5 linked regions of the Nothobranchius furzeri genome follow. The protein of the gene in region 3 purifies or fractionates together with the protein of the main gene of each other region. This does not show direct contact. Links are inferred from orthologs where the notes say so. Each region holds a gene or a part of one and is shown on either strand. Other genes may lie near its edges.

Region 1 (6,555 bases), on a different chromosome or scaffold from region 3:
AAATAAACGTACTTTGTGGGTTGTATGAGCTTCCTCCATAGAAACACGAGATCACTAGTCTTTTTGAAACATCTTTGAAATCCTTCGCGACCTGGATGGCCAACTCTCTGGTAGGAGTCAACACCAACACCTGTGTCAGAAAAAAATAACACAATTGTACCCAGGTGAAGGAAAAAAAAATACATTAAGGTAAAACTATACTACTGTCAGAAGTAGGGTTGGGCATTGAACCGGTTCCAACTGTTCATTTTTCCCGGAAAAGTTCAAAGTTTATTTTTTCGATTCCTAGTATATCGACGGAAGAGGAATTTGCGGCCGATCTCCGTGAAAAATAAATGTGATCTGCAAATTGTGATCACCGCTTTCTAGAGCTGATCACACCAGCTGTCTGTGTGCAGCACCGAGTCCCCCCTCCCCCCACCCAGCGGCCAAATATAAACAAACGTGTCTGACGAACTTTTACTCCGTAATGTAAACTTTAACTTCTGTAGCGAAAATGCGCCAGAGAGGAAACTTGTTAAAATACGTCAACACGGTGGATTTAATAGAAGCTTAAAAGAACAAACTCTGGACGGTGTGAGGTGAGTTTGTCTCACTGCAGAAATAAAAACACACATGGAGTGTCAGCAGTCAGATGCAGCCGCTCACCAACACTCGTGTGTGTGAGCATGAGAAGGCTGAACAATAACCAGTAGGATAATTAGTCACCATGCTAGAAGCTTCTCTGTTGTGGACCACACCAGCTTCTGCCACAATAAATAATTATAATAATAAATAACATTTTTTTATTTCCTTTCTGAACTATTTCTGTTGAGAGTTTTAATTAGGGATGTGAATCTTAGAGCAACTCACGATTTGATTCGATTCCGATTCTTGGGGAGCCGATTCGATTCAGAATCAATTCTCGATTTAAATCGATTCACAATCAGTATTAACGAAGAGTGTCAGCTCCAGGATTAACTACTTTGTTGTTCAAGTTAGTTAAAGCTATGGGACATTTTTATTTGACTTTAAACTGGTCATGCTCCAAAAATGCAAATTTACAATGTAAAATAAAGTGATTCTAAAACTGTTAACAGAAGCAATATTTTGACCAAAAGGCAACATTTATTTTTGCTTACCTTGTAAAATATAACAAATCTGTAGTTACCTCACAGTTGCTTTGAAAGTAATATGGTCAAATACTTTTCATGTATGTGTAGAAACAAGTTACATGAGTAATCCTGAGTACTCATCAACTTAGAAAATAAATATGGGAATATCTCAAATTTCTGAGTATGGAAAAATTTACATTCAAGTGCCCTCTTATCAGCAGATTCAAACATAAATCATCTCAATTTATGGGACCACAAAAGTAAACGGAGTACTGACTCTCCTAACAAAGATCGAAAAAGTGCATCTCAAACCTGTAACATGCCAAATATTTGAGTTCTTGGAATCAATTCTGAACCTTTGTGAATCGATTCTGAATCTTTATAAATAAGAATCCAGATTCAAACTTGAATCGATTTTTTTCAGCACCTCTAGTTTTAATGTTTAAAATCTGTTAAGATTGTTACTGACAGCAGCTGCATTTAAGTTTCACTTCCTGTTCTGACTGAATGCTGCTGCAGCATGGAGGTGTAGTTCTCAGTCATCCTGGACATGATCATCCTGAGAGTTTTAGCTGAAAACAGCTGGACGTTTCTGGATATGTTGGAGACATTTAGCCTCTCATCCCAGAGGCTTCTTCCAGACTTTGGTTGTGGTCAGAAACAAACACACTAGTTGTGCTGCAAGTCTTTTTCTTTTCTTCTCCCAAACATGTTTTTGTCTAAATGAAGGTGATGTTGTTGTTCATAGAATTAAAATTCATGTTGAAGTTAAGATTATTTCATCAGGCAGGACCTGTGGTTAGCTGGCTCATGTAAAACATGTCATGTCTTGAAAGAATCGGAATCGGGAATTGATAGGAACCGGAATCGAAACGAGGAATTGGAATTGTTCAAAATCAAACGATGCCCAACCATAGTCAGAAGTGAGCTTATTTACTGTGCACCTTAGGAGGACGGCCTCTGATCTTCTGCTCTGCTTCCTTCTGGAGCTTCTCCACCAAGGGAATAGCGAAGGAGAAGGTCTTTCCTGTTCCTGTGCGGGCTTGGGCGATGACATCCTCCCCATCGTAAACAGGATTAAAAGATTTTACCTGAATGTCAAACAAGTAGGAAACTCCTCGAGCTAAAGATTTGATTGAAAAGTGACAAAAAAAAAAAGTTTAGATGAGAAAGAACAAATTCTCTCCCAAGAACAGAACGAGAAAAAAAAATAAACGTAGAATATAAAAAAAAAATACCATACATAAGAACTACAGTTTAAATCTATTTAGCAGCTTTTGTCAAATTAACAGATATATAAAAGGTTTTCTATGTTTACCTTTCAGTTTATCAATAGTGATTTGGGAGATTCTGAAATTGGAGAACGCTCCTTCTCTCTGCTCTGGTGTCAGTTCCTAAATTAAACAAAATATGGATTATTAGCTTTTTCAGAAGCACTAAAATAATTAAACATGTTTTAACAGGACTATAAATATCCCAGCTCTTACGTTTTCTCTTTCACCGTCACTGGCTGAGTCATCACTGGACTGGGATGGAGTCTGAACTGGTGTGTTTGGGGCAGAATGACCATTGGTTGTTGCCACAGGACTTTCCATTTTTATCTTCTTGTTTTTCTAAACTCACCCCAAACAAAATAAGACAGTAAAAACAGGTCAGAAACAGAATATTTATGCACCATAACACTATCACCCCACAACAGATGGTGTTGGTTATCAGAAAACAGAATCCAAAATGTCACCTTTTATCAACAGGAAGCTGTAAATCTGCCCAAACTTACCTCTGTTGCTTTTTTCTTTTTAGTTTTCTTTGGTGATTCTACACCATTGCTGTTTACGTCTGTGGCTTCATCTATATGGCCATTGACTTGGTCTGCTGCCAGTTTATCTTTTTTCCTTTTAGTTTTCTTTGGTGATTCTACACCATTGCTGTTGCTGTTTACGTCTGTGGCTTCATCTATGTGGCCATTGACTTGGTCCGCTGCCAGTTTTTCTTTTTTCTTTTTCTTTTTTGGTGCAGGAGGTTCACAGTCTGGATCCTGCTGCTCCTCCAAGTCCTGCTGCTGTTGCTTCTTCATCCTTTTGCCCTCCTTGGACTTATTCTTTATCTTCAAGAAAATCAACGCAATTTACATAAATTAAATAATCAGAGGCAAACGTTTAAATTAAATTATTACTAAATATCACAGAGTGCATTATCCTGATGATTTTTTCATGAAGATGCACTCTTTCCCTTCATTTACTCTTTTACCAAGTTTGGCATCTCACATGGTCCCAGGGATCCATGATGTAACTTCAAAGAAACTGATTGATCAGACCAGATCACATTTACTTATTGTTAATAAATGGTGTTTTTAAACACATCAGCCTCAAACACTGACTAAAGATTAAGGTATGGTTTACGCAATAAGCTGAGACAAAAAAAGCTGCTTAATTATTCAAACTGACTCAAAATACACCATCAGAAATGAAAACTATTTCAGTCAAATGTCCTGTTTAAACATCATGGACAGCTGAAGAATTGCGTAACGCGTCACCAAGACAGATACACACACAAAAACCTTCTCGTCGTGGCCAGTCAACTCGTGGTTCCATATGTTCTACAGATCAGCTGAATGGGAGGACGTTGTGTACGCAACGTTAGCTACGCAAAAATATGCTAACACCACGTTAGCAAGCTAATCACTAAACAAAGCTAAATTATGACAGTAGCCAAAGCAGGGAAACATGTATGCTGTTGTTTTGTTTCTGGTTTTGTCTTTTTCTTTTATACAAATTACAATCGTTTATCATTTAGCCGGCGTTTAGGCTTAGCGCGGACAGCCACATGTTGTCAACATGGAGGAGTCGACGGAACATCGTAGGAGACACTTTTATTACACTTTTTGGGTTGACACGACTTCCAACACTCACCTTTAAGGTTTTAGCCTCCGCGACAGTGTCCATATCTTGATCCATGGTGAATTCCTCGATTTCTGAGATGATCTTTGCTGGCATTTCTCTACCCAGTTGGAAACCCTCAGCGTGGACACAGGTAAAGCTACGGGCACGCGGATAGAAAGGAACGCGAGAGGCGGCGGCGCGCGGATACGCGGTCGCGAGCTTGACCCGGAAATATAAACTATTGTGGGACTACCATAAGTCTTGATCGAACAACGTTTTGGAAAGACTTTAGCAGATTTATTATCGGACAGCTCTGCAAAGACTTTGTTTTAAAATGGGAAAATGTTGTATTTTGTTTTTTTCGCAAGCACAGAAAGGAAGATGTATACTTTGTTATAAATTTGTTAATTATTCTAGCTAAATTCTATCTCCACAAATGCACATATAGTAACCAAAAACCTAATTTCAAGCACTATTATAGTGACACTCTATCTTACATAAAATTGATTAGTGGACCACTAAACAAAAAAGCTTTAAAAACTATAACTATTTGCACCACCTATAATTTATTTGGATGTGTGTAACATTTCTGTAGTGCACCACCTGGCATATGTTTCATCTTCTTTGTTCAATTTTGTATGCAATTTGTTTGTATACTTATCACCTTGTTCAATAAAGTTTTGAAAAAAACGCCTTGATCGAGTCAAACGACTTTTTTAACCCCCCTCAACCCCCCCCCCCCCCCCCCCCCCCCCAAAAAAAGCGCCTATTGACATTTCTCAGGTCCCTTTGCTACTTTCTGTATAACGTTCTTGTAGATATTCCTTACAGACTAACAAATAAACAATTTGCACTCTGAACCGTTCTTCCGGGAGTAAGGAAAGAGAATGTGCAGCCAGGTGCTACTCTAATGGCGGAGTGAACAGTCGCAATATTGCAGGCTCTGTAGTAAAATAGATTTTCCATTAGTCCTTGAATGTTATTTGAGTGCACTTTACTAAGAGAAGTTAGATAATTGCGAACGGATTCTTTTCTGGCAAAAAAAAAACTTTTTCTAAACGCTTTGTTATTTTTTTTAACTTTTTTTAAATCTTCGTTTTCACATACTTTCAGTTTACATTGTAACCTCAACGTACTGAAGAATGTAACAATTACAAATGACCTCACATGAGGAAAATAAAAAATTACATTTAAAACTTGCAACGATTACCAAATGACACTACCATGAAATAAATTATGATGCACAATAATAATTAAAATAAAATTATATCAACAACAAACAAAAAATGTTCAGAGGTTGATATTTCAGCATTGCATTTCAAACATGTTTGATTCATTGGACTGTAATTTAAAGAACAAGAAACTCAGACATTGTTTCATACAACTCAGTTATAGATTGGTTATTTTCTGATGATACTCTTAGAGATGTTGTAATTTGTTTTATTTCATTTTTAAAATGGTTAATGTTAGGCTTGCTGTTTTTCCATAGTCTTATGTATATGGTATTTTCCTATGACGAAAATAATGTTCACCATTTTGGATTTCTTTTTTGGAAAAGCATCCATGTATATCAACACTTTAGATTTGTTAAGCCATACATCATTTCTCTCAATATTTAACAATCGATAAACATCCTTCCAAAAACCAATTGTTACTGAACACGAGAAGAAAAGGTGCTCAATAGTTTCACATTCTGTCATACAAAAGACACGGATTCATATTAAAATTAAATCTTTTTCTTAATGTTTCGACAGCAGGATAGATATTATGTATTATTTTGAATTGAATTTCTTTCAACTTGGGTGCAATTGGCCATTTAAGATAGCTGCAATATGGCTTTGTTAATGTAGTTTCATATCCTGTGATTTTTGTTTTCGTTGGTTTTTCAAAATCATAGAATAACTATTTTTAAACATACTTCCAAGTACATAGTCATTACATTTTTGTTCACCTAATTTAAATGAGCCAATTTTCAACTCAGGAAGTTTAATCACCACATTTGAATTAAGCAAGATATTTTTAATTGTGAATTTTAAGGGAAGTGGAATAGCTCTACTGATTTGATTAAACTCTAACAGAGCATTTGAAATTAAAATTTTTGACAAAACATTCAAATTGTAACAAATTGCCATTTTGATCCATCAAGTCTGTCACATATAAAATATTTTTATCATACCACTCTTTTTTAAATATAGTCTTCCTATTAATTACAACGGCTCTATTATTCCGCAAGGTGGGGCTGTGTGGTGTAAAGTTGTGGCTGAATATCATTTTCCAGTAGAGCAGTATTTGTTTATGGAAGTCAGATAGTTTGATTGGTATTTTAGATATTTCAAAGTCGCATTTTAACAGGAATTCTAATCCTCAAACCTTTTGGAAAATACATTTTGGTATGTGGAACCATATAGAATGTGGTTGTATTAAAAAAGCTTTTATCCAGTTTAGCTTAAGTAAACATATCATGGCTTCAAAATCAGCAGTCTTTAACCCACCATGTTTATAGTCTTTAACCATCACAGACTTTTTAAGGTAGTGTGTCTTGTTCTTCCATATAACATTAAAAATGATCGAGTTTACTTTTT
Region 2 (5,837 bases), about 16 Mb from region 3:
GCCAATTAGCGCTCTCTCACATTTTCAGCTCTCGTTCTCATAATCAGCCTGTGTGCGATCTGACTCGTTTAGCCATCATGAGCCACAAATAAAAACCAAGAAAACAGGTAACAGCTGCTGCACTGTGTTACCGCTAAGCAGCTTAAATGAGGGTTAGTGAGTTCCAGGGGTTGTGTTTATCTCGGTGTGTGTGTGAGTGAGTGCATGGCTACGTGGGGGTGTTTGGATGTGGGTGTGTAAAACAGTGTTAATAAAAAAGTTGAAAACTTACTGTGTTTTTCGTTTGCAGAAGCTGCTCCTGGATGCCGTCGTTTGAGGTGCTGGTGCATAGTTGTCGTGCTTTTATGATAAGCCATTTCCATTTTACAAAGCCGGCAAACAAGGAGCAACTACAGAGATCCGTCCAATCCATTCTTTGTAAAATTAAAAACACCAAAATTCTATGATCTGGTGGACTACAATATTTTAAAATGTATGTATACTGCAAACAAAGAGTACACACCTGCAGGTTTAATCAATAGATTTACAAAAAGACATGGCAGATATGATTTAAAAGGACATGAATATACCTAGACATAAGATACTCATAAAGGAACATTGTGTGTCCATTTATGGAGTTAAAATGTGAAATAAATTAAATACTGAAATCAAGAATGCAAAAACAATATTGACTTTCAAAAAAGAGAAAAAATGAAATGATTAACTTATATAGATCTGTTACATAAATGTGTGAGGGGAGGGGGTTGAGGGGATGAAAGAAAAAAAAGGGGGGGAGCACAAGTCTATGTATGCATGTGTGTATATATGTAAGTATATAAGTCTATAACTTTATGCTTCTTTCTGTGTAACTTGTTTTCTCTCTTTTTTCAATTCATGGGTTGAGGTTGTGTCGGCCAACCGGTCCAGAAACTATATTGTTCATATTTTTTTAAGAATCATATGTTTGTTTCATTTGTATTAATGTTATTTTAGTTAAAAGGGGCAGATAGCAAAAGTTTTTCTATCCCCTTTTTCATTTTGGCTTTTAGCAATTTAGTTTTGTACTTTTATTTTAATGTCAATAAATGAAAATAAAGTTGAAAAAAAAATAAAATAAAATAAACAACTGAATCGCTTCCTTTTCTGTTAAAATAGTCCCATACTTTTGAACTGTGAGTTTGGGTTAAGTGATTTAAGTCGACTGCCCCACTCATGTTGCCACTACTCGCTGCCGCCATGTTTGTTTTGAGCAAATTATTTGCGTCGACGTATTTTACGTGTCCGTCGACCCAGCCCTACCCCTCACCCTCTGAAACAGGCAAGCAAATCAGCCTGGTGTTACTCAACAAACCGATACCGATGTGTTAAAAAAATGACTAACACTTAGGGATGAGCCGGATACTCGTTTCAGACGAGTATCCGGTACGGATAAAGCATTTTTGATGAATACGAGCATGACACGAGTAAACCTTGTAAATATCTGTAATTGTGCTGAAGGAAAATCCTCATTGGGTAACTGACTGTCTTCACGCTCTGTGATTGGCCAGTCACATAGAGCGCCCGCCCCTCCCTACACACAAAACTCTAGCCGGCCGGGAGCTCAGTCCGTCCTGTTCATCCACGCACACACACAGACAGTAACGGATCTCGCTGTGCTTGCTTCACTGTTGCTCACGTTTCTTCAGTTTTCCTTAGATTTTCTTCAGCTCGCCTCTTTTTCGGTTGAATATTTAAAGTTACTTTTTTTGTAACTTACTGTACATGGTACATTTGACAAGACAGAGCTGACGTGCTGCGTCTCTACCTCCTCTCCGGTCGGGTTTTTTATTTTTTTAACTCTCTCCCTCTCTCTCTCTCTCTCTCTCTCACACACACACAGACACACACACACAGACAGACACACATAGACACAGACACACACACACACACACACACACCTCAATCAACATTGTTTTGTTTAACTTTGTGTGGGGCAAAATGCCAAGAATGTTAAGAAAAAAATCTGTTTAATCAAGTTAAAATAAAAATATATATATAAAGTTGTGTCTGGTTCTAGCATTTCATATTTCCTAGTTCCTACTGCATGAGTTCAGATGTATTAATTCATGCACTTAAATATTAATGTTCTGATTTGATTGAAACACTTGTTCTGTAATAGTTTCTTTACTATTGTGATCAAAATATTTCATCTCTATTCTGAGGCTGCTCTGTAAATAGTTTTCAAATAAACAATACACATAGCAACTTCTGATCAATTCATATCAATTTCAGACTTAAAATAATAGATTGATGTAAACCACACCCACTTCCGGTTAAGCCACGCCCACTTCTGGGTTATGCCACGCCCATTCCGAGTACAGATACAGATAATTTAGTTGGTTGAACAGATACAGATACAGTTAGTGGTGTACTCGCTCATCCCTACTAACACTGGCCGACACCGATATTGATGCCGATATATTGTCCATCCCTAAGTTTTGTATTTCTTTTGTGTGGCGCAATTAAACTCCGACTGCTAAGTGGCAGCAGTTTTTACTTCCTTCATTCTGACAGAACATTGAGATCCCGTAAGAACACAATGCATCTGAAGCGTCTGGCCTGAGTTTTCCAGTTAAATTCAGTCTTAAAAACTGCAAATATGATCTGGCTTTTAATATCACAATATATAGTTTTGTGCTCCCTGAATTGTGATATGGCATCACCTGATTCTTGCCCGTACACACCCCGAATAAAACAGTTATTGGTTGTTTTATTCAACCTCTATAAATGAATCTTGTACCTTTAAGAATCTGTAGTTTCCAGCTGTGCTCCTTCTGCAGGTCCTCTTTAATGTTGCAGACCGCTTTTGCTTCCTCTGAGGTGTGAAAACGGATGTGACCCTCAACATCTCCTTCCAAGATGTCAACATAAGCCACTGGGGATATCTTGGACAGAGTATCCTAAACACACACAAACCACACAGAGTGTGCACGTTTAATTTAGCTTTAAATTGTTCTCATCGAACATGAAAACTGGAACAAATGAGCAAAAAGCCGAGTCTGAACCTTGATGATCTTCCTGGATGGTAACGGTTTGCTGTCAGTGATCTTCAAGATCACACCGCTGATGAACTGAGGGCCATGGTTGGTTTCTTTTTCACTTTTGCTTTCCAGCTCAGCTAGAATCAAACATGAAAAGAAACTGTTTGGAAAATGTAATCGAACAAAAACACCAGAAAAAGAACAGTTATTTTCAACAAACGCCTCAAATACCTTGGGTTCGGAAACTATGATGTCAGTACAATAAGTGGTAAATTATTATTGTATGGGGTTTTAAACATTTTCTTGTGCGTGACACAATAGTTTGAGTACATCTGAACTAATCTGAGTAAATTCACCGTTTCCATCTTGGGTTTTGTCTTCGTTAATCTTCCTGATGGTCTTCTTCAGCGATGCCATGCTGCGTTTTTGCAGAACCAAGTACTCCTCTTTCAGCTGCAGCCACTCTTTCCTTCATGACAAAAAGAGGAAGACAGATCCTCAAAGTGACACATTTTTTGGTAATTTATCAGTCTGTGTTTGTTATTAAGGAGCATACTTGGACAGAACGCGGAGCGGGATGACTTCCTCTCCGATTTTCAGCTTCTCTTTGTTCTTCTTTTTTCTCTTCCGCCTTGCTTTCACGGCTGAGTCATCACCGTTGTCTTTCCCTTTCTCAACATTTTCCTCAGTGTCACTTTCAGCGTGTGATTCTGTGGGCGGGGGGGCATCATTACTGCAACAAACCGCGTGGTTTCACAACACTTTCAACACATGCATCATCACTTTGTTCAAGTAGGTGTGTATTCTGACGTAACCACCCTCTGTACTCCCAGTGTTCGATCCCAAAGTGAATGAATTAGGCTGGTTAATGGACTTTTAATCATTCAGGTTATTAGAAAGGATGTGGTCAAAAGGTAAACACATGAACAGAGATCAATCACTGAGCATACATGAAAATTTGAGAACATTCCTAGACCGATGCAGACTGTTGTTTTCGCTAGAGGCCGACCGATATATGCCATTTTTTCTATTTCGGCCATTTGCTGGCATTATTTTTTTAAAACGATAACATTTTTTTTAAATCTGCCGCTTTTTTATTGTTTACACCAGTGTTGGGCAAGTTACTTCAAAACTGTAATGCATTATTTATAACTTGTTACCCTCATTTTAAAGAAATTCATTAAATTACAATATTACTGATTTAAAAATGTAAGGCATTACACTACTTTTGCATTACTTTAAGTTACTTTCACCAAAACAACTTCAATATGAATCTGGTAATGTGACGCCCAGTGAGCTCATGACATATATGTGGAAGGTGATGTGGTGTCTGAGCTAGGATTGCTGTTAAAAACAGCCACATATAATAACAGTGCTTTAAAATGATTGTTTATTAAATAAAAGCAACAATAATATGTACTCTCAACACGCTGCCGTCTTATATTAACTGAGCAGGGAGTGGGGTGGTGGGGGCTCCAAGCCTATATTGCCTTGGTCCCCAAATGCCTTGATACGGCCCTGGATGTGGGCCTGACTTCTGGGGTGATCTGATTCTATCACATGTATAAATATTAAATGCTTATATATTATTGCTTTTCACTGGTAAAATGTCTATTGGGGATAAATCTACCTACTTTTTTCTTTTCAAGCACTTTGTTTTGTTTTCTTGATTTTATTTGAATAATTTCCTGCCCTTTCTCTCTCTAACCTTCCTGCACGCTGCATGTTTTCTCCGTCTTCCAGAAAAACTGTTTCCTAGACTTCCTACTTTCTAACTAATCAGCCAAAGGGATCTACACATGCGCGGCGCTCCAGCAGTAATGAGTTGAAATCACCGGGGCACAGATTATGAACTCAGCTGAGGCAAAGCACGTCAGAAAAGCACAAAATACCAGAGAACATGCGCTGATATGAACGATCGCAAGTGAATTATTTTGTTTTAGTGGAGCGATTTTGTGAATGTTACAGCGGCCGCGTGCAGGACGCAGCTGGAGTATTTGAGCCGTTGCCGCTGCGTCCTCTCTGCCCGCAAAGCTGAGTCCATAAATGACGTCATATATGCAGATACTGGATCTTTCTTCGGGTTTCCCGCAATTTGAATTTTTAAGGAACACATCTTGATTCTGGGTTTAAAAATGCATTGTAATTACCGCGTTACTGACAGTTGTACCGAGTAAATATTACCATTTTCTTTCCCTGTAATGCCTTACATTACCACATTACTGCTAAAAGCAATGCATTACAGTAATTAATTACTTTTGTACCGCATTACTCCCAACACTGGTTTACACTTAAGGGAATATTCCACCCCTATGTAGCATTTTGTCTGTTAGATTTCCCAGTTAGGTTAGAGAGAAAAAGGATTTGGTAGCTAACAAGCTCAGTCATTCTGCTGATCTGGAAGCAGTAAGTTATGCTTAGCATAAAACAATGTGAGTAAAAGGAAGGTTCTAGCATAGAACAATTAGCCGCCGACGCGAAAAGAAAGTTTGATTACGTTTAAGGTTTTTTTTTTTTTACGTGCTAAGCTTCCAGAACACATCAAACTCAGCAGTTCAGGTCAGTCTAAACAGGAAGTTAAACACAAAAACATTGTAAAATGTCCACAGATTTTCTAAAGAAAAGTCAGGTGCACATTTCCAGTAGCTTAACTAGTAAAAAAAAAGTATGTCATGTCCTGTGAAACCTCCGTAGCCGAGTTTAACAGAGAAGGAAATAAACCGCAGACCTTTCTGGATGCATGCAGCGGACTTTCTCCTTGCTAGTTACTGCATGAACTTCTGAAATCACGAGTGGTGTTGCAATTCTACCGCTATTTTGTGACATCCCAAGACTAGT
Region 3 (6,274 bases):
TTGGCCCATTTGCCGGTACCGCACTAGAACACTCGGTCGAACTCAGTCTGGCTGGTGGTGGCCGGGTTCCGGTTCTGGTTGGGCTGCTGCTGGGGCATATGGCCTCTCCGTCTGGGCGGAGCCAGATACTCAAACATGGAGGTGTTGTGAGTGGACAGCATGTTCTTCAGGTCCGATGGCATCGGGTCACACCAGAAGAAGTCATGGTTGAGCGCGTCGTCGCTGTCGATACGCTGCGATGGGTCCAGAACCAGGAGTTTGTCGATGAGGTCCAGAGCACACGCGTCTTTAACGTAGGCCTTCAGGCGGTCCTTCACCTTCCTCTTCTGGCCTTTGGGCAGCTCCATCTTCTGGTACAGCTCATACTTCTTGTCCACAGTGGGCCAGACCTCAGCTGTGATGGAGCCGCACAGCTGGCTGATGAGAGTCAGCTGGTGCTGCTCGGTGTTCCCCTGCATGATGGGACTCCTGGTCCACATCTCCGCCATGATGCAACCCGCTCCCCACAGGTCTATGGGGGGTCCGTAGTCCCGCTCACCTGAAGGACACAGAGCCAGGTTCTGTTAGAGGGTTCTTTGTTACAGAACGTTCCTTCAGAAGTCCAGAGAGGCTCATACCCAGCAGCAGCTCCGGAGGTCGGTACCAGAGCGTGACGACCCGGTTGGTGTAGCGGTTCCCCTGACTGTTCTTAGCCAGGCTGAAGGCCCGAGCCAAGCCAAAGTCCGCCAGCTTCAGGACGCCGTCTCTGGTGATGAGCACGTTGGCGGCCTTCATGTCTCGGTGCAGAATCTGAACCAGAACACACGATTTAGGACCGGGCCCACTTGAGACCGGGTCTTTAATGTTCTGCTTCTGATCGGTCTCACCTTGTTCCTGTGGATGTAGTACAGCCCGTTCAGCAGCATCTGCATCACCTTCTTGATCTCTGCCAGCGTGAATTTCACATTAGCGTTGCTCAGCAGCCCGGCCAGGTCGTGCTCGCAGAAGTCGAACACCAGGTAGATGCTGCCTTTGTACCGGTTGAACTGGGTCGCTGCAACAACAAAAACACTGGGTGTCACCTTCAGCTCCAGCAGCAGATGGTTCCTGCAGCTGAAGATCCGGCCTGAAGCCACTAACCTTTGGTTCTGCAGATCTCAATCAGGTTCACCACGTTCTCGTGTTTCAGCAGCTGCAGGATCTTGATCTCCCTCAGAGCTGTGATGGGGAACTGAAACGAAACGAAGACTGAGCGATGCTGGAGATGCGGTCCACGCGGTGATATTAATGAGACGACTCGGGTCATTTGTTTATGTTCATATTACTTTAACCAAAGTGAGCTGTAATCTAAGACAGCGGTGTCGTCCCTCTCATGTCTCCATCTGTGCATGAAAATGGTTCTCCACCTTCACACAGCTGATCATCAGTGGTGATCAATACATCTACCCAGCTGTTGAAGTTCTCCAGACTGAATGAAGGAGCCTCAGTGAAAGACTCCTGTCATGTCTGCACCACATATTTCTATCCTGAACTCAGATAAGAGCTCTCCAGCATTCACCCCACCACCTTCAAACCAGTGAGAAGTTCTAACGTGTTCTTCAGCTTCACCAGAGTCAAAATGATTGGGAGGTCAGGGGTTCGATTCCTGGACGGGTCATACCAAAGACTTTGAAAAAATGGGACCCAATGCCTCCCTGCTTGACACTCAGCATAGGGGTTGGATTGGGGGGTTAAACCACCAAATAGTTCCAGAGCGCGGCTTGTCTGCAGCTCACCGCTCCCGCAGGGGATGGGTCAAATGCGGAGAATAAATTTCGCACACACACCTGTGTGTGTGACAACTAATGGGACTTTAACTTTAGATGCTGTGAACCCCCCCCCCCCCCCCCCCCAATTGGTGGACTTCAGCCTGGCGAGGTCATCAGCTGGAGGAGTCAATGTGCTCTTCACGCCTCCCAAGATCTCCCTCCCACCTGTGACTGTACAGTAGATGAGCGCCTTATGGGCCATTCCCATCTGTACCGGGTCGGCCCGGGCCGGGTAGCGTAGGTTGTTTACATATCTGGGTGGCCTGGTATTTTTCCGGGCCAACCAAGGCTCATTCTCAGCCCTCTTCTCGAGGGGGTCTGCTTCAGGCCGACCAGGGCCAACACACCCACTGCTGACAGCAAATTCACACCTTCCATTAGAGCAAGCCTCTGATTGGTGGGTAGAATCAGCCCACATGGGCTTAAGGAAAGGGTGTGTGGAATCAACCGGGCCAGGCTGGGGCCGACTGGGGCTACCTGGCCCAGGCTGACCCGGTACAGATGGGAATGGCCCATCTGATGGCTGCTCTCGCTGGGGGAAGAAGGATCCCAGCCCCACCCCGCCTTCCTATTGGGAGTCTCATGTTGTGGACTGTTGATGTTCATGCTTATATGTCTGAGGTGTTTTTTTGCAGAGCAAAGCTGCCCTCCCTGTGGAGGGTAGCTCTGAAGTGCCTTTTTTCCCTCCACCTGAACCAATCCTCATGTAACCCTCTTATCTCTATTAAGGTAGCGCGACTCAGGGTTGCGAATGACCACAGTCACCAATTCTTGTCATGTGTCTTGCCCATGTGTGTCTGATCTCTGAATTGTGTGTACTGAAACTCTAATTTCCCTCTGGGATTAATAAAGTATCTTTGATTTGATCTCAGCTGTGATTTTAACCACAACAAGCAGCAACAGAAACTCAGATCTGTCTTGTTTCAGGCTCTCTTCAGGCTGCAGGAGAGCAGGGGCCACTCTGGGACGTGGATCAGGGATGCACCCATGACCGTACCAGTATCAGGTACTGCCCAGACACAACACAACCAATACCGACCACGTGGGTCCACTGTGGTGGACGTTAAACCCTGTTCACTTGTTCTAAGCTTTAGCGCACTCGAGTGGGGATCCAATTAGAGCCCTGCAATGGGACTGGTATCCCACGGGTCCCAATGCTAATCTCAGCAAGGCGAGCGACTGAGGACAAAACTGTGGGCACCACATTAACCTGCTAGAAGATGGAGAGTTCAACTGAGGTAGCTAACATGGAGAGGCGGGTTTGGACGCGGATGCTGTGAGAGCCGGTGGTGATGAAGAAATCAGCTCTAGTTCGAGCCTCTGAGGCCCAGGAACATCCAGCTGTTCAGACCCATATGATTGCCAGCTTCACACTTCAGATCATAACTGACGTAAAGTCTTTCAACATCTCTAAATGAGCTACCAGGTTCTCGTCTCTCACCCCTTCCTTTTCATTTTCCATCAGGACTTTCTTCAGAGCAACCTTCTTCTGCGTCTGCCGGTGCTTGGCTTTGAACACCTCCCTGAAAAGACACAAACACACGTTTATCCTGTTTTAGAACAAGGACTTAAATGTTATTGACAAGCGCAAACCCTAATTTCAGAGTAAACATTAGAAATCAGGATCAGTAACAGTCTTGATCCAGTTACCTGTAACCCCTTAAGGCAGGGGTACCCATGTTTTAGTTTTAACCACACCTGATTTTAATCAGCGGGTGATTAACAGGCTTCTGCAGAGCCTGATGAGCTGCTGTACAGTGATTTAACCACTAAAGCGTGTTGGAGCAGAGAAACCGCTAAAACATGCTTTATACCGGCCCGCCAGTGCCAGTTGGCACCCCGAATTAGGTCTTCCTGACGGTCCATCATGGTTTTTCTTTGGATCTTTACTGAGTTTCCGTCCCTGCTGCAACTAAAGACCCTGAAACAGAGCTAGCCCTCCTCTGTGTGCACAACACAGCCAGAACATGGCCGATGCTACATCAGCTAGCACCGCTAGCACAAACACAGACCCGTTCACTTTACCGCACAATGAAACGTCTCAAACACGTCTGTCTCACCCGAAGGTTCCCTGTCCTATCTTGGCCAGTTTCTCGTACTTGGAGAACTCGTCGCAGAAAGGAAACTCCACTCCGTCGTAATATTTGGACATTATGGCGGCCTCGCGGTCCGGCCTGGTGGGGACAAAGAGGTTAGACTGAATATCAGGAAACTTATAGACAGAAAAACCAAGACACACCACACAGACATACCCAAAAACTTAAATATAAAACATATATAACAAATGAGCGAATTCGTAGTTGGAAATCTTACTTTTCAGCCGCGCCAGCGCTGCTAGCTTTCTCCCGCTGCATGACTGCGTTGACGTTCGCCTTTCTTCTTCTTCTTCTGTTTAATGGAGGGTTGGAAACAAACCACAGAGGATATTCTGCCACCAACTGGACAGCAGATGTAACTACAAGTCCCCCAAGGACACGTTCAAAACCCAAAACTCACCCCCAAATCAACTTTTTCCACCCGAATAAACAGGCCCCGGTGTCGGTACAGGATCTGCTCGGGTGCAGAACCGGCTCGGGGTCCTTCGACTGCCGATGACGTCAAAGTAGTTGATTGGCTGAACATGAAGCTTACGGAAGTTACGTTATCACGTTTGATTTTAATTGGTCAGAACAAATTTGCGGTCGTAGTCTTAGCGGTTGTAGTCCTGTAGTCCAAAAATCAACACTTTTTGGAGAAAATATGTTTGAATTTCTAAAGGAAATGTAAAATATAAGCAAATGATAAACGGTGACCCTCAAAAGTTCTTGATGTTGATGAAATAGGGCAAAATAAAATATAAGAAGTTTACTGAAAGACACCAAGAAATATTTTGAGTCAAAGAATGTATTTAGATAACAACTAAGGAAATATACAGACGAAGTCCCCATTAATACAAACAGATATGGCTTCACATGTAAGAACTGTTCTATTTTTTGTCAGTCTGATGTTGGTTTTATGCAGTTTCACATTTTTTACAAAACAAAGATAATATGGTGTTTTATTAACAAATTAGAATTATAAAGAAAACATTTAGGTTGATTCTCCAAATCTGAGACCATGGTTCTCGACCGGGAAAGGGTGGCTTGCCAACTCCGGGTCGGGGGAGAGGTCCTACCTCAAGTGGAGGAGTTTAAGTATCTCGGGGGTCTTGTTCACGAGTGAGGGTAGGAGGGATCGGGAGATCGACAGGCGGATTGGTTTGGCGTCTGCAGTGATGCGGACGCTGAGCCGATCTGTCGTGGGGAAGAGGGAGCTGAGCCAGAAAGCCAGGCTCTCGATTTACCGGTCGATCTACGTCCCAATCCTCACCTATGGTCATGAGCTTTGGGTAATGACCAAAAGAACGAGATCGCGGATACAAGCGGCCGAAATGAGTTTCCTCCGTAGGGTGGCCGGGCTCAGCCTTAGAGATAGGGTGAGGAGCTCGGACATTCGGGAGGGACTCGGAGTAGAACCGCTGCTCCTCCGGATCGAAAGGAGTCAGTTGAGGTGGTTTGGGCATCTGGTCAGGATGCCTCCTGGACGCCTCCCCGGGGAGGTGTTTCGGGCATGTCCTGCCGGCAGAAGGTCCCCGGGTCGACCCAGGACACGTTGGAGAGGTTACATCTCCAATCTGGTCTGGGAACGCCTTGGGGTCCTGCCGGAGGAGCTGGTGGACAAGGCCGGGGAGAGGACGGCCTGGAGCTCCCTAGTTGGGATGCTGCCCCCGCGACCCGGACCCGGATAAGCGGAGGAAGACGACGACGACGACATTTAGGTGTTAACGAACAAGAATTTATTAACAAAACTGCTGATGTCTTTCCAAAACGTATGTGTGAAAGCCGAGTAGAGTTGCAGTCATGTGACAGAAGGTCCTAGCCAGGAGACGCTGATGGTGGATGCTAACGTAAAGCGTATATCCAGTGTCTTTATTTGTATTTACTTCTAGTTTTCTAAATGTGGCAAGGTGGAGAAACGAGGGCCCGGGTGGGATTTGATCCCCAGACTACCGGAAGTACCAAAAATTGCAGTTCCACCGTCATCCACTAGGGGCTGGTGTCAGAAGCGAGCAAATCCTCATTGACTCCCATGTTAAAAATACCAATTTCATAGCAGAAATAAACATGTTTACAGCCTGGTACCAAAACATGTTTTTGGTTTAAATGATCTAGTTTACACTCATGACAACTCTGAGGGGGGTGAATTTTTTTCTCACTCTTCTGTTTAAGTGTGTTAAAAGCCTAAAATTCTGTATAATTAATGAGCATCAGACCCACGTGACCACAGAGCTAGCTCCATGGAAAGGCCTCAGTAGAGCCTCGGTCTGGCCTGGAAACTGTTCCGGCATCTTGAGTCTCTGTTTGTTTTTTCTGTTTTGGATATTTTTTGTGCAATTGTTGGACAAAATGACTTGCTGTGGCATTAATTGCACTAATAGAGCGTCCAAGGAGTCTCCACTTCATTTTTTT
Region 4 (5,408 bases), on a different chromosome or scaffold from region 3:
CTCCTTAAAACACACAAAAATGTATTCATTCACATCTTCCAAGCACAAATCAAAAACGGTAGTGAAAACCTAGCTGACAAGTTCAACAGATGTCAAAAAACCGCTAAAACAAAGAGAACTAACCAGAATCCTGCATGTCCTTGTCCATGTCTTCCTCCTCATCCTCTGGCTCGTGGTTCTCCAGCTGAGCTTTACGGGCTTCCTGTTAGAAGTCACATTTTTAGCATTTTCAGATAATGCAGTGATGCGTAATAACACAGCCTATCGTTCATCACATTTATAGGTTCTGCTTTTACCAACACTGAGAAAAAGAGTCTGAATGAGCTTTAATGACTTTCACTGACCTGAGCTTCCAGCTCTTTCTCATTCATATCTCTGTGCTTACACACTAGTACAGCATTAGTAGTGGACTGGGCCCCAGCCTTGGCTCTCCTCTTACTCAAACGCACCCTGAAGGTCAGAAGAAACCATTTAAGGACACCCCCACGACTAAACCTATTCTTACTGCATGAACAGAAAACAACTGGAGTGAATGATGACCTCGTCTCCAGCTCGTTGTAGTAAACACCATCTCCATCTCTGAAGATGAAGAAGTAGTTCTCTTCGTAACCTTTGCTGGCTTTGTTTTTGACGTTCCAGTTGTACTCCCTCGCAATCTTGTAATCGTACCTGAGACACACGCAGAAGATGGTTTTATACTTGATACTGCAGCAGACTCCAGCAGGAGTCCTTCTAACAAGACAGAGAGAATATTTTGTGTTTCACTCACAGATCCTCTGGCATAAAGTCCAGTCCCTCCTCAAAGTCTCTCTTTCGCTTACGGAGCGTGTCTTCATTAGGCAGGAAGTAAGCCACAAACTGATTTCCTTCCTCGTCCATCATTCCTCTGCGTTAAACAATAAAGGGATGCTTTCAGAAAAAAAAAAACACCTTTTTGTGACGTATACTTATACCATCATTTCTTTAGCAGATACCTGATCATAGCTTGAGACATCATTTCCACTCCTGCTGGAGCAGAAATGTCCTTGGGTGCCGGATCAGAGTCGAAGATGACCTGAGCACACGGGTTGATCCACATCTGAGGAGAAAATGTGAGAGGAAGGTATTTATTCAGTTCTGCTAGTGAAGCAGCTACGAAAACAACAACGTGTGTGTGTGTGTGTGCGTATGTGTGTGTGTGTGTGCTCATTCTTTAGGCGGCAAGGTCACCTTAAAGTCAGGGAACACAGGGAGGATCTCCACAGGAGTAACTCTGGGTTTGCTGTAGTGCTGTGCGATCTGGAAACGAGAAACAACAACTTTTTGGTTTATTATCTCACCATACATGATGTTTTTCCACTTTTGCACCAAAAAGCTAATTTGCAGATTAATATTTTAAAGGTGAAAACACTTCTTGCGAGCACTTTTCTGTCTCAGTTGCAAATTGTCTGCCCAGCAGGCTGCATTGCTTCCCGCTGCTGTTGGACTCATGAATGACAATCCTAGGGCCGCCCACTCAAGTCGCTTGGTTTCAGTCACATGACCCTGTGTTGTGTTTGCACCTGAACTGATCCGCTCTGATCAGTACCTACACTTTCTTGTATATAGTAGCCATTTCTCTAATTATTGCCACTTTATATTATTATTTTATCATGATTGTATTCTTACTTCCTATATTTACGTATCCCCAGTTTGTATCTTTCTTTTTGCGCCAAGTACCACAGAAATTTCATGAATTCTTGTACATATGGCACTAAAACCCTGATTCTGATTCAGCTGGATGGGGTTATAGCAGCATCATCACGGCGCACCCCTCCCCATCCAGGTAGTCTTTAGTCCAGATGCCTCCTCCCCTCGACTGTAAACACTAACACCGGGTCTCACCATGTAGCTAGCAGGGAGTTTAATCTCCACAGTTGTGAAGAAGTGATTTTTTTCTTGTCCAGTCTGCACTTTAAATAATGTCTGGAACCAAAAAATGGACGTGTGCCAGTGAGAGAACAAGACTCCTGTCTAGTCTTCCTAAAGAAGAGTTTAATCATCAGAAAATGTTGGATTTTAACTTCAGGAGCTCTCAAAAAGTGACCGTGATTTGACAGACTGCTTGTTAAACCACCACCAGCACTAGAGATGCTTTACTTCTTCAAACCAGCACCAAATCTTTTTATATTTTAAATTCTTTGTTTTTGTGAAGCGCCTTGTGATTTTTATCTTGAGAGGCGCTATAGAAAAAGATTTTGTGTCTTTCATTCCAACGTTGAAACCACCTGGTGGAGAGTCATGTAGGTAATACCAAAATGCTAACTGCTAGCTGAAAGGTTATCAGAGAAAAACTGGGACCGATTCACCCCAGCTCTGTATGTGTCACCCTCCAGCTAAAGCCTGATTCATGCTTCTCCATCAGCTCCGCAAGGGACAGACACGCACGGATTGACGGAAGCGTTTTGCTCTCATTCTTCTCCGTCTCCTGGAGAGCGTTGCAAAGCAATTCCCCGGCAGGACAACAGAGGGCGTAGCACTGTTCTGTGGTATCCTATCATGTATCGGTCCAAGATAGTGTGTTTATTTTGTGTTTTTTGTATATAAGAGACTTTTTAACACAGACAAATTTGTCTCTCACCCTCCTCCACCTCTTCATGCGCTCGCCACCTCTAAACCCACGTTTCCTGTCATTTCTGTCCACAAATAAAACGCTTGCTGCGCATCTTTTCATTCCTCCAGTCACGGGGAATTAAACGTTCATATTTTTAGAGTTTTTTCGCGAGGTATTCTTCAAGCTTCTCCGTGTCTGCCGCTTGTTATCCTCGGCTCTCTTTATGTTTTTGAGGGCGCAACAGCGGCGCAGTAGACAGCAGCGGCGTCCTGACCAATCACAAGCTTGCATTCTCCGTCTCGACTGAAGGATGTTTAGAAAAGAGAGCTCTACTCCGTCCGTCCTTGCGGTGCTCTCCGGCAGGCCCGCAAGGACGTTGCGTGTCTCCGCACTGACGCAGACGGGAGAAGCATGAATCAGGCTTAAGAATTCTACGGGGGGGACTCGGCAATCACTGAGTGGGTCATGATGAATGACCCGCACCTGTATAGCGCCTTTCAGCGTCAGAGGACTCTAAAGCGCTTTACACTACAGTGAGTCATCCACAAACATATACACACACTGATGGTGATAAGCTACAGTGTAGCCACAGCTGCCCTGGGGCACACTGACAGAGACGAGGCTGCCTTGCACAAGTGCCACCGGTCCCTCAGACCACCACCAGTAGGCTAGGAGTGTGAAGTGTCTTGAGCAAAGGACACGACAGCAGAATTCGCTGCAGGGAGCCGGAATTTGTCCTGCAACCTTCTGGTTACTGGACAACCCGTTCTACCCGTGGGGCAGCAGTAGGTCAGGTGGTAGAGCGGGTTGCCTCATGATCGGAGGGTCATGGGTTCGATTCCAGATCCCGCCAGGGGTTTCCTGCTGTTGTGTCCTTGGGCAAGACACTTCACCCAACTTGCCTGTGTTAGTGGTGGTCAGAGGGGCCGACGGCGCCAAATGGCAGCCTCGCCTCTGTCAGACTTCCCCAGGGCGGCTGTGGCTACAAGTAGCTTACCATCACTAGCAGTGTGTGAATGTGAGAGTGTGTGAAAGCGTCTTTGGGTGTCTAGAAAAGCGCTATATGAGTTCTATGCATTATTTATTATTACCTCCTGAGCTACTGCTGCTAGTCTTTGGGTCTGCAGCCGTGCACTATTGTGGAATTAACACAGATAGAAGCTGGGTTTCATCAAATCCAAGCAGCTTATTTCTGGGTTAAAGGTATATCTCACAAAAAATAACATATTTATAAAAAATTACATCTCAGTAATGCCAACAGTAATATTTTATCATATAAAGCGTCAGCCGTTGCTTTGGGAGGTGTAAAATAGCATGATACAGGCCCTATAATTGTGGCGGGTTCCTGGTGAGTTCCTAAAATTCCCAAAACCATGGTTAACTGGATCAGGAATGCTGATCTTTGAGTTAGGTCTGGGTCCCTGCAGGAGCGCCAGGGCTCCATTGGACTTGTTCTTAACCTGTAACCTGGGTGAAGAGAGCCGGTTTCTGGGTTAAATCCCACCCACACAGGGTCAAACTGTGTCCACGAAGATAATCTTCATATAAAAGAACATGAAATGTTATTATTCAGAGCCGTTAAACAAACGTCAAACTTACCGATTTCTGAGCATCCTCGAATGTTTTCTCAATGGCAGAAATCTGACTGTCTCTGTCCTTGTAGATCTCTTCTTCTGTAAACTGCTGTTTCACAGAAACTCCAATCCTAAATGCAAAATAATAATTAAAAAAAGACGCCTACTAACACACACACACACACACACACACACAGACATATAAAACACACACTAAGAAAATCAAACTTACTTGACTTCCACCTTTTCATTAGATACACCATATCTGTTGAACTCTGTGGAGATGTATTCTGTTTTTCTCATCCACGGCACCACTTTTGCATGTTGTTGTGATCTTAAAAATGTAGAATAAACATATTCATTCCCCAACATTACAAAAAAATATGAAATGATAACGCCATATTTATCTTAGAGTTACCTTTTGGAACTGGACGGAGCCTGGATGTCTTCTTCCAACAGTTTTTCATCAGCAGGGTCCAAAAGAACTGAAAGGGTTAAATATTCAAATGTCTTTATTAACGTAACATAATCTAAATAGAAAACAACATATAAGGTGAGTCTGTAACTGGAAACTTACCGTTAGAATCTATGCGGTAGGTGTCTGGGTTAATGAGATCAATTGTCACCCCAAGGTCTGGTTCTGTCAGGAGCTCATGTTTGTGCTGCTTCTCCAGAGATGTAGCTTTATATTGAACAAACCTGTCAGAGCAGATCGATAAATGGTGTGTGTCTGTTTGTAACCTTATTTATCGAACTCAGAAAGCAGGAGAGTGAAACTACCGATGCTGATCGAATGGATATGTGATGAATTTGGGGTCAAAGGGGATGTCTGGCAGGCTGTTGCAGTACTTCACTCGACAGACAATTCCCGACCTGTCATGGGGACAAAAGAAAATGATAAGTCAAATCAATATGCATGACATGTAAGATATACATTTTAAAAGAGCTGAATTTACTTACCTTTCTGGAACAGTTCTGTGAGAAGATGGCCTACTGGGAAATAAAAGTAGTTTTTAAAAAATGCCAAGAAACCAGGAAAACTGCAACCTTTTAGCTTTGTCCCCCAAAATAACACTGGTGGAGACCTTTCACACCAACGAATGCAGCCCGAAGAATATTTACGTCGATAATAAACCAAATACACCAAAAGCCACAATGAGAACTGAAAGAAAACAAACGTTTGGATTTCTACTGTTTTTCTATATTGCAAAAATGCAAAACTATTCTATTAAACATAATTATTTTTTATATTTATTCCGACA
Region 5 (6,324 bases), on a different chromosome or scaffold from region 3:
GTGCGATGAAAAAAAAAATCTGTGTGCATTAAACTATTTTTACACGTAGCACTCGTGCGACATCTTTTCAAGCTACTCCCCCCCCCCCCCCCCCCCAGAACTTTATTGAACAAAGGTACGTTGCTTGCTATCGTGTAAAGAAGATGCCTTTTACTGGTGCACAACGTGCTAACAGGTGCTGTGGAGGAAAACAGAAACCAGAAAAGACACAAAGGCAGAAACGGTCCAAAATCTAGGATTAAAAGTGGAACTACGGGTAGATTAGCTAACGCTAGCGAGTAGCAGATCAAGTGAGGTTAGCCAGGTGGTTAGATCCTGCTTTTTCCAGTTTCGCCGGCTACCAAAGATGAAATCCATCCTGACTAGACATGACCGGCACACAGTGATCCATACATTTGTGATCTCTGGCTTTGATTATGCAAATTCCCTTCTTTATGGATCTACATCTTCCTCGGTTGCGCGCCTACAGCTGGTGCAGAATGCGGCGGCCCGCCTTTTGACGGACACCAGAAGGAGGGAGCACATTAATCCTGTTCTGGCCCAGCTGCACTGGCTCCCGGTGCGTTACTGCATCCAGTTTAAAATTTTACTTCTTGTTTTTAAGTCACTCCGTCTTTATGCTGCTCTGTACTTGACTCAGCTGGTTCTGCCCTACGTACCTGGTCCCAAGTGTTTGGGCGAGGACGCAAGGAGAACGCGCGTTCTCAATCTTTGCGCCTCGTCTCTGGAATCAACTCCCTCTAGCAGTGAGAATGGCCCCCTCTCTCTCCGATTTAAAATCACGCCTGAAGACTCATTTTTATTCCGTGGCTTTTACTTCAGCCGAGTTAGCATTGTACCATGTCTCTGTTTTATTTTTATTGATTTTATAGTAGTCACTGTACTACTTTTATTACTTTCTTCCCGTGTGTGGATTTTTATGCTCTTTTACTGTGCAGCACTGTGGTTGGCCTCGGCCGTGTGGGAATCTGCTTCATAAATAAAATGGAAGTTCCAAATAAACACGATGGTCGTGAAACTAAGAACATCTAAACTCTACCAGCGGAAGAAAAGTCCCCGCCATCCTGTTTATTGTTAGCTTTCTGCAGCACCAGGGAGCAGAACCTCTGGTTGCTGCTTTGAGTCTGCTCCGCTGCGGGGTTATGGCAAGCCACCGTAGCATGTAATTCACAAACGCATCTATCCGTGAACGCAATTTAAACTGGATTAGTGCCAACCCGTACATGTGTCACCATTACATGTTAGCAGTAGAAAGTAAATGTTATTAGCGTTTCCAGTAGCTAGCTACTGAAAATGCTAATTAAATTTTAACTAAGGATACATTTAGGTGACAGCGTGTTGTTTTGAACGCCACTGAGCTGTTATCTAATCAAGTTCCATTGTTAAATGTTCCCGTTTAATCTGATTAATCGAATCGATGACCCAAATAATCGTTTGTTGCAACCCTACACCGCGCTCTTTTGCCCCGCCCACATGCTCAGAGATAACCTCCTGACATCACAGGTCACTGACCGCCCATGTGCCCCCCCCCCGCTGTCTCACACATGTTCTGCACTACTCTTCTCTACCATTTCTGTCCTCGTCTCCGGCTCATCCACCGTCTGACCCTGGAACCAACCCTGCTGTCTGTTCCCGTCACCAACGAGTCCTTTAGGGTCTGCACCGCTCTCTAAACTCTTTCATCATCTAAATCATCTAGCTCATATCCTACCTGTGGATCAGAATCACTAACAATGAGGATTATTATTCCAACAAGCATCAGGCTCCTCAGACTACCTGACACTCGTCACTTCCAGAATGATCCCAACACCAGCTATTCTGACCACTTGTGAACAAGCAGCATCTTTTAGGCAGCGTAGTTTTAAATCTACAAGGTAATTCATGAAGTCCAACCAGCCTGTTGTCGTGTTTTAACGTCGCCATAATCAAATCTCGTATGCGTTTATTCACTCCGCTTGGCCCAAACGCAACACCAAATGAAGCTCATTGCGCTCCACAGCTGGCTCTCCTTCAGCGGCTAATCTGTGGTAGCTTCTGCAGGAGCGGCTGAGAAACGGTGAGAACCTCCTACCCTGTATGCTCTGAGCTGGCGGTGGTGGGACCAGACTGGACTCTGGGCCACTTGCCTCTGCTGCCTCCTTCACACTCTTCTGGGACTTGGCTTTGGGATCCGTTTTTGGTTTATCCAACATGGAGGGTGGCTGGTTCAACTCCACCTGAACAGAAACCATTAGAGATAATAAAAAAAATAATGTTATTGTTCCTAACTACTGAGCCACAACACGTCGAAACAACTTAGCAGCGTAGTCTAATCCAGCTCCTACAAGATCATCCCTGAGCCCCAAGTCCATCGACACGCTCAAATGGTTTACTTAAATCCAAACTTCCTCTGCTGGGAGACGAAAGTGAATTTTGTCACGGTACAGCTGCCACGTCATGTGACCATGAGATGATCTTCCATTTTCATCACAATCCCTAGTTTGTGGCAGCAGCTCAGGGAACACCTAAACCGCGCCTTCTGGTGGCGGCACGCCAGACAGCGAAGACAAAATCAGCACAAATGATGAGAGCCGTCGCTCTAAACAACAAGCCCCGCCCCCTTCTTTAGCTCAGGTGGACTTCACAGGAAAACCTTAACAGGTGACAGGAACTGGACTTTGCGTGTGAACAGGTGTTCACCTCCGCTCCTCACCTGTTTCCTCACAGGGAGACGGGCATCCTCAGGAGCTGGTCCCAGAGCCAGGCCCAGCAGCCAATCAGAGTACGGGACATTCTTCTCCACAGCTGCTCTGAACTTGGGGTCCCATTTGGAGTAGAGCAGTGTCCCTCCCACGCCTCCGCCTACCGTCACCAAGCCGAGAGCAACCACTCTGGAGGCGCCGCTGTGATGGGGAGGGGCAGACGGTTAGGTTTTTACCTGTGAGGTGTGTCCTTACCTCACCTGAGGGGTCAGTTACCTGCTCCTGCTGGTGGAGTAGCACCTGTAGGACTGCAGCGGAGTCAGAGGACTTCTCACACAGTTCTTCTGAAACACACAATGTCCCAGGTACAGTGAAGGCAGCATCTACGGTTGTGACGTCACCTCCAACTAAACTCACCTGTAAACATCAAATCTCTGAACACACAGGTCACCTGAGAGGTGCTCGTTAGGGTTCGGACCCTAATCCTTACCGGTACCGGAGGGAATGTAAACAAAGCCTAACCGCGGGCTAACCAGAGACGCCAAACTGGACCGGATGTCCTGGCACAAAACTGGTTCTGTTCAACCCTGAGAACCGTGGAACCTTGAGCTGGGTCACCGGATGACCCCACCATGCTAGCTGCTAACAGGACGGGTTCGGCTCTTACCCGGACCGTGGCGTGGGCTCCTCGCAGGCACACTCCAAGCATGGTCCTCGCTTCAACGGTCCGAGTCCAAAGCGGGTTCGGCGGTGGCACCACGACAACTTTCCTTCACACAGTCGCTCAGCGGACACAAACCAGAACCGGACCGGAACCTCCTCCCGCTGCCAGGCTTCACTTCCGGGTGGAAAAGCAACCCGTCTTCAGCGCCACCTGCTGGTGGGGAGTATGGCTCCATCCACGCGGACGTTCTCTCCTCTTTACCTGTCGGTCCTCGGGTGGTCTTCCTCCTGGCAGTAGATGGTGAAGGTCCACACTGTGGTCCGGCCCGCATCGCACCCGATTAGAGTAAAAACAGGTCCAACTGCCACCGGTCCCGTCCATCAGCTTCTAGTCATCACTTGCTGACTTCTCATTCTCACTCGACTCCCGCCATCAGGCACGGCTCGGCTGTGGAGGTCTCCGTAGGAGCAGAACCTTCTCTAGCTCTCCGTTCAACTATTCCCAGGAGGGGAATGCCGGGTCACAATTTCTGATCCAGTTTTCACACGTTCCCCTCCACTCCTTGATCGATTCCGTGGTCTTCAGAGAGCAAATGAAGTTTCATTGATGTTCTCCACCTGGTCCATCGTGAGCTCCTTCACCAAACACACTGGTTCCAGCATGTTTCCTAGTGCCGACACGTACACAAGAACAAACTCGTCCCGTACTCACTTCCACCTGAATGCCTCCCAAGTACTTTATTCCATAAAAACTCGGACCTTCTCAAGGATTTCAGGCACCAGTCAGAACCAGTAACGAGGTTGTTCTTTTTATTTTCATGTCTTCATCAAAAGCAAACAAACAAACAGTTGTAATAAGGACATATTAAAATTACACGTAGTTCATAACAGCAAACGTAAAACTGTCCGGCTCAACAGTCAAATCAGAGCTCTACAAAATATTCTACAAGCCGTCCGCCGTCGCTCCTCCTTAAATAACTCCTGGACTCAGGTCGATGCGACGTCTCCCCACCGGGACACAAACAGACGAGGACAACAGGGGCTCATCCCAGCAGTCTCCTGACGGGTCAAAGCTGGAATTATAAACCTGGTGGTGGAGTGATCTCCCTGAGCAGATGTCCAAGTTAAAAGTGTCCTTTTTACGGACTAAAAACAAATATTTGAACCCAAACGACTCCAGAACACACTTCCTAGATGCAGGTGGAGTTCAGCAGGAACCCCAACCATGAGCTACACCATGTCAGGCCCCCCTGGGCTCTCTGTCCTCTGGACTTTAACTGGGGTCCCCAGGTAGTCTTGATCCTGAACAACACAGAACAAGCAGATTCAGAACCGAGCCCAAAAAGTGTTAGGTTTAACCTGTCGGTTCGTAACTACGCTAACTCACCGTTACAGAGGAGGCGTGCACCCAGTGGGCGGTGGGGGGGTGCTCAGAGTGCGACAGGGTAGGGAAGTCCAACTCGATATCCATGACGTCACCAAAATCCAGCTCCTCACAGGGGTCCAGCTCCTGACTGGAGGAAAAACAAAATGACCTGCTGGGTTCGGCACAAGGAGGCTCCTCCGAGCCTGACGTTCTCCTACCTGCTGTTGCTGTTAGGAGTTGTCTTCTGGGAGCTCAATGACGGAGGATCCCAGGCATGCAGTTTGACCTTCCAAAGCTTGACCTGCTGGTCCCAGGAGCGCCGGCTGTACTTCCGGAACTTATTGGGGGTTTTCGGGTGGATGCCTGGCTGCCGCAGGTGCCTGAAAGCAGACACGGTCCAGGTTTTACGGACAACTCTCTACGGTGAGGGCGCTCCGATCAGAGAGATTTTTAAGAGGTCGGCCATAACCACATAAAACAGAAAGCAGGAACTTTTGTATTCACGCTGATTTTGAAACATTATGATGGCTTAGTTCTAATGTTGACAAGATCCATAGACGACGACACCGTAACATCCCACAATTTACAACAGACGGGGGATTCAGACACCGGAACATGTAGCTGTTAGCAACAGGCTAACGCGTATCCTCCGGAGAGAACACGTCTGCAGGTTGGACGTATTTTAAGCTGGACAGTGGAGGTGGAGCAATAGCCTCTGTTGTGTGTGCACACTGGGTATTTAACATGCCGAGCTGTAGTCAACACGATGAATCTGAAACGCCACCCTAAAAGTAAACCCTGCTCAGTTCACTGCAGCTACTCGGACAAAAACACGAAGCAGGACTAGCTGGCGGGTGTGACCCGTGTTTGTGACCAGCAACAGGCACGGCCATCATTTATCACTGGAGCTGGTATGAGCTGTCACTATTTAAAGAGCAAGTCACCCCAAATCACATTTTTTTTTGCTGATAAACTATATAAAGGAGTGTCTAATCATGCTACAGACACGTGTCGTCAATAGTTTGGCAGTTCAGTGCATCTTGGTTAAAATTCAAATATTCTGTCTAAAACTGTCAGTGTTGCGCCGTCGTCAGAGAAAAATTGTGCACTGTATTAGAATTTAAACCTGCCAATGCTATTGGCTAAGAGGTATGATATGATGTCATCTGGTACATTATGATGTCATAATGCCATTGTGAGCCTGTGTGTGTGTATTTGTTAGCGGCTCCGCCCTCTCGGTCTGCCAAGCAGCAGCATTTGTTGCATTTTTCAAACATGAAGAGGGAGTGAAGTAAGTTTCTTGTAGGGGGTGACTTGCTCTTTAACAAACATCTCTGCACAGTTTGTGCCCAGACCCGCCCGTTCAGTGGAGGGAACGCGCACCGATCAGTAAACGATTTGAACAGAGCCACGCGGCTACTTTAAAAAATACTTCAAGGGACGACTTGGATGTGTGATTTTTTTCTTATTTTAATGTTTTGCAGAAATATTGGATCAGGACTCAGCATCGGCAGATACTCTCAATCAAATGACTCGTGACTCAAAATTGTGATCAGAACATCCCTACTCTACACCTGGGTTCCGGTTTTGCTATCGGTTCTGGGTGTGACCTAC

What was found.
Region 1: the proteins of cdk9 (region 3) and ddx21 purify together in Homo sapiens (affinity purification with mass spectrometry; 3 studies listed by BioGRID and IntAct, with this or other methods). This does not show direct contact. The link is inferred for Nothobranchius furzeri from reciprocal best matches to the Homo sapiens genes CDK9 and DDX21.
Region 2: the proteins of cdk9 (region 3) and larp7 purify together in Homo sapiens (affinity purification with mass spectrometry; 15 studies listed by BioGRID and IntAct, counting the BioPlex papers as one, with this or other methods). This does not show direct contact. The link is inferred for Nothobranchius furzeri from reciprocal best matches to the Homo sapiens genes CDK9 and LARP7.
Region 4: the proteins of cdk9 (region 3) and paf1 purify together in Homo sapiens (affinity purification with western blotting; 3 studies listed by BioGRID and IntAct, with this or other methods). This does not show direct contact. The link is inferred for Nothobranchius furzeri from reciprocal best matches to the Homo sapiens genes CDK9 and PAF1.
Region 5: the proteins of cdk9 (region 3) and immt purify together in Homo sapiens (affinity purification with mass spectrometry; 3 studies listed by BioGRID, with this or other methods). This does not show direct contact. The link is inferred for Nothobranchius furzeri from reciprocal best matches to the Homo sapiens genes CDK9 and IMMT.

Annotation. Positions count from the first base shown.
Region 1 is NC_091749.1:53,570,652-53,577,206, forward strand, and holds the start of ddx21 (nucleolar RNA helicase 2), read right to left. Parts: upstream 4,173-6,555; 5' UTR 4,088-4,172; coding exon 4,004-4,087; intron 3,199-4,003; coding exon 2,872-3,198; intron 2,708-2,871; coding exon 2,582-2,707; intron 2,489-2,581; coding exon 2,413-2,488; intron 2,218-2,412; coding exon 2,039-2,217; intron 131-2,038; coding exon 13-130; intron 1-12.
Region 2 is NC_091742.1:73,351,664-73,357,500, reverse strand, and holds part of larp7 (la-related protein 7), read right to left. Parts: intron 3,710-5,837; coding exon 3,556-3,709; intron 3,469-3,555; coding exon 3,356-3,468; intron 3,137-3,355; coding exon 3,024-3,136; intron 2,919-3,023; coding exon 2,759-2,918; intron 2,746-2,758; exon of another isoform or gene 272-2,745; intron 1-271. UniProt on the Homo sapiens protein: RNA-binding protein that specifically binds distinct small nuclear RNA (snRNAs) and regulates their processing and function.
Region 3 is NC_091742.1:88,948,076-88,954,349, forward strand, and holds the start of cdk9 (cyclin-dependent kinase 9), read right to left. Parts: upstream 4,246-6,274; 5' UTR 4,142-4,245; coding exon 4,101-4,141; intron 3,962-4,100; coding exon 3,848-3,961; intron 3,311-3,847; coding exon 3,229-3,310; intron 1,211-3,228; coding exon 1,120-1,210; intron 1,034-1,119; coding exon 867-1,033; intron 790-866; coding exon 618-789; intron 539-617; coding exon 24-538; 3' UTR 1-23. UniProt on the Homo sapiens protein: Protein kinase involved in the regulation of transcription.
Region 4 is NC_091753.1:48,340,283-48,345,690, reverse strand, and holds part of paf1 (RNA polymerase II-associated factor 1 homolog), read right to left. Parts: intron 5,140-5,408; coding exon 5,107-5,139; intron 5,020-5,106; coding exon 4,927-5,019; intron 4,846-4,926; coding exon 4,724-4,845; intron 4,632-4,723; coding exon 4,565-4,631; intron 4,481-4,564; coding exon 4,379-4,480; intron 4,278-4,378; coding exon 4,172-4,277; intron 1,279-4,171; coding exon 1,210-1,278; intron 1,079-1,209; coding exon 975-1,078; intron 887-974; coding exon 770-886; intron 670-769; coding exon 541-669; intron 451-540; coding exon 345-450; intron 203-344; coding exon 124-202; intron 1-123. UniProt on the Homo sapiens protein: Component of the PAF1 complex (PAF1C) which has multiple functions during transcription by RNA polymerase II and is implicated in regulation of development and maintenance of embryonic stem cell pluripotency.
Region 5 is NC_091741.1:108,907,816-108,914,139, reverse strand, and holds the start of immt (MICOS complex subunit MIC60), read right to left. Parts: upstream 3,525-6,324; 5' UTR 3,391-3,524; coding exon 3,349-3,390; intron 3,026-3,348; coding exon 2,958-3,025; intron 2,883-2,957; coding exon 2,693-2,882; intron 2,217-2,692; coding exon 2,072-2,216; intron 1-2,071. Other genes in the region: slbp (histone RNA hairpin-binding protein), read right to left, coding at 4,575-4,646, 4,732-4,858, 4,929-5,090. UniProt on the Homo sapiens protein: Component of the MICOS complex, a large protein complex of the mitochondrial inner membrane that plays crucial roles in the maintenance of crista junctions, inner membrane architecture, and formation of contact sites to the outer membrane.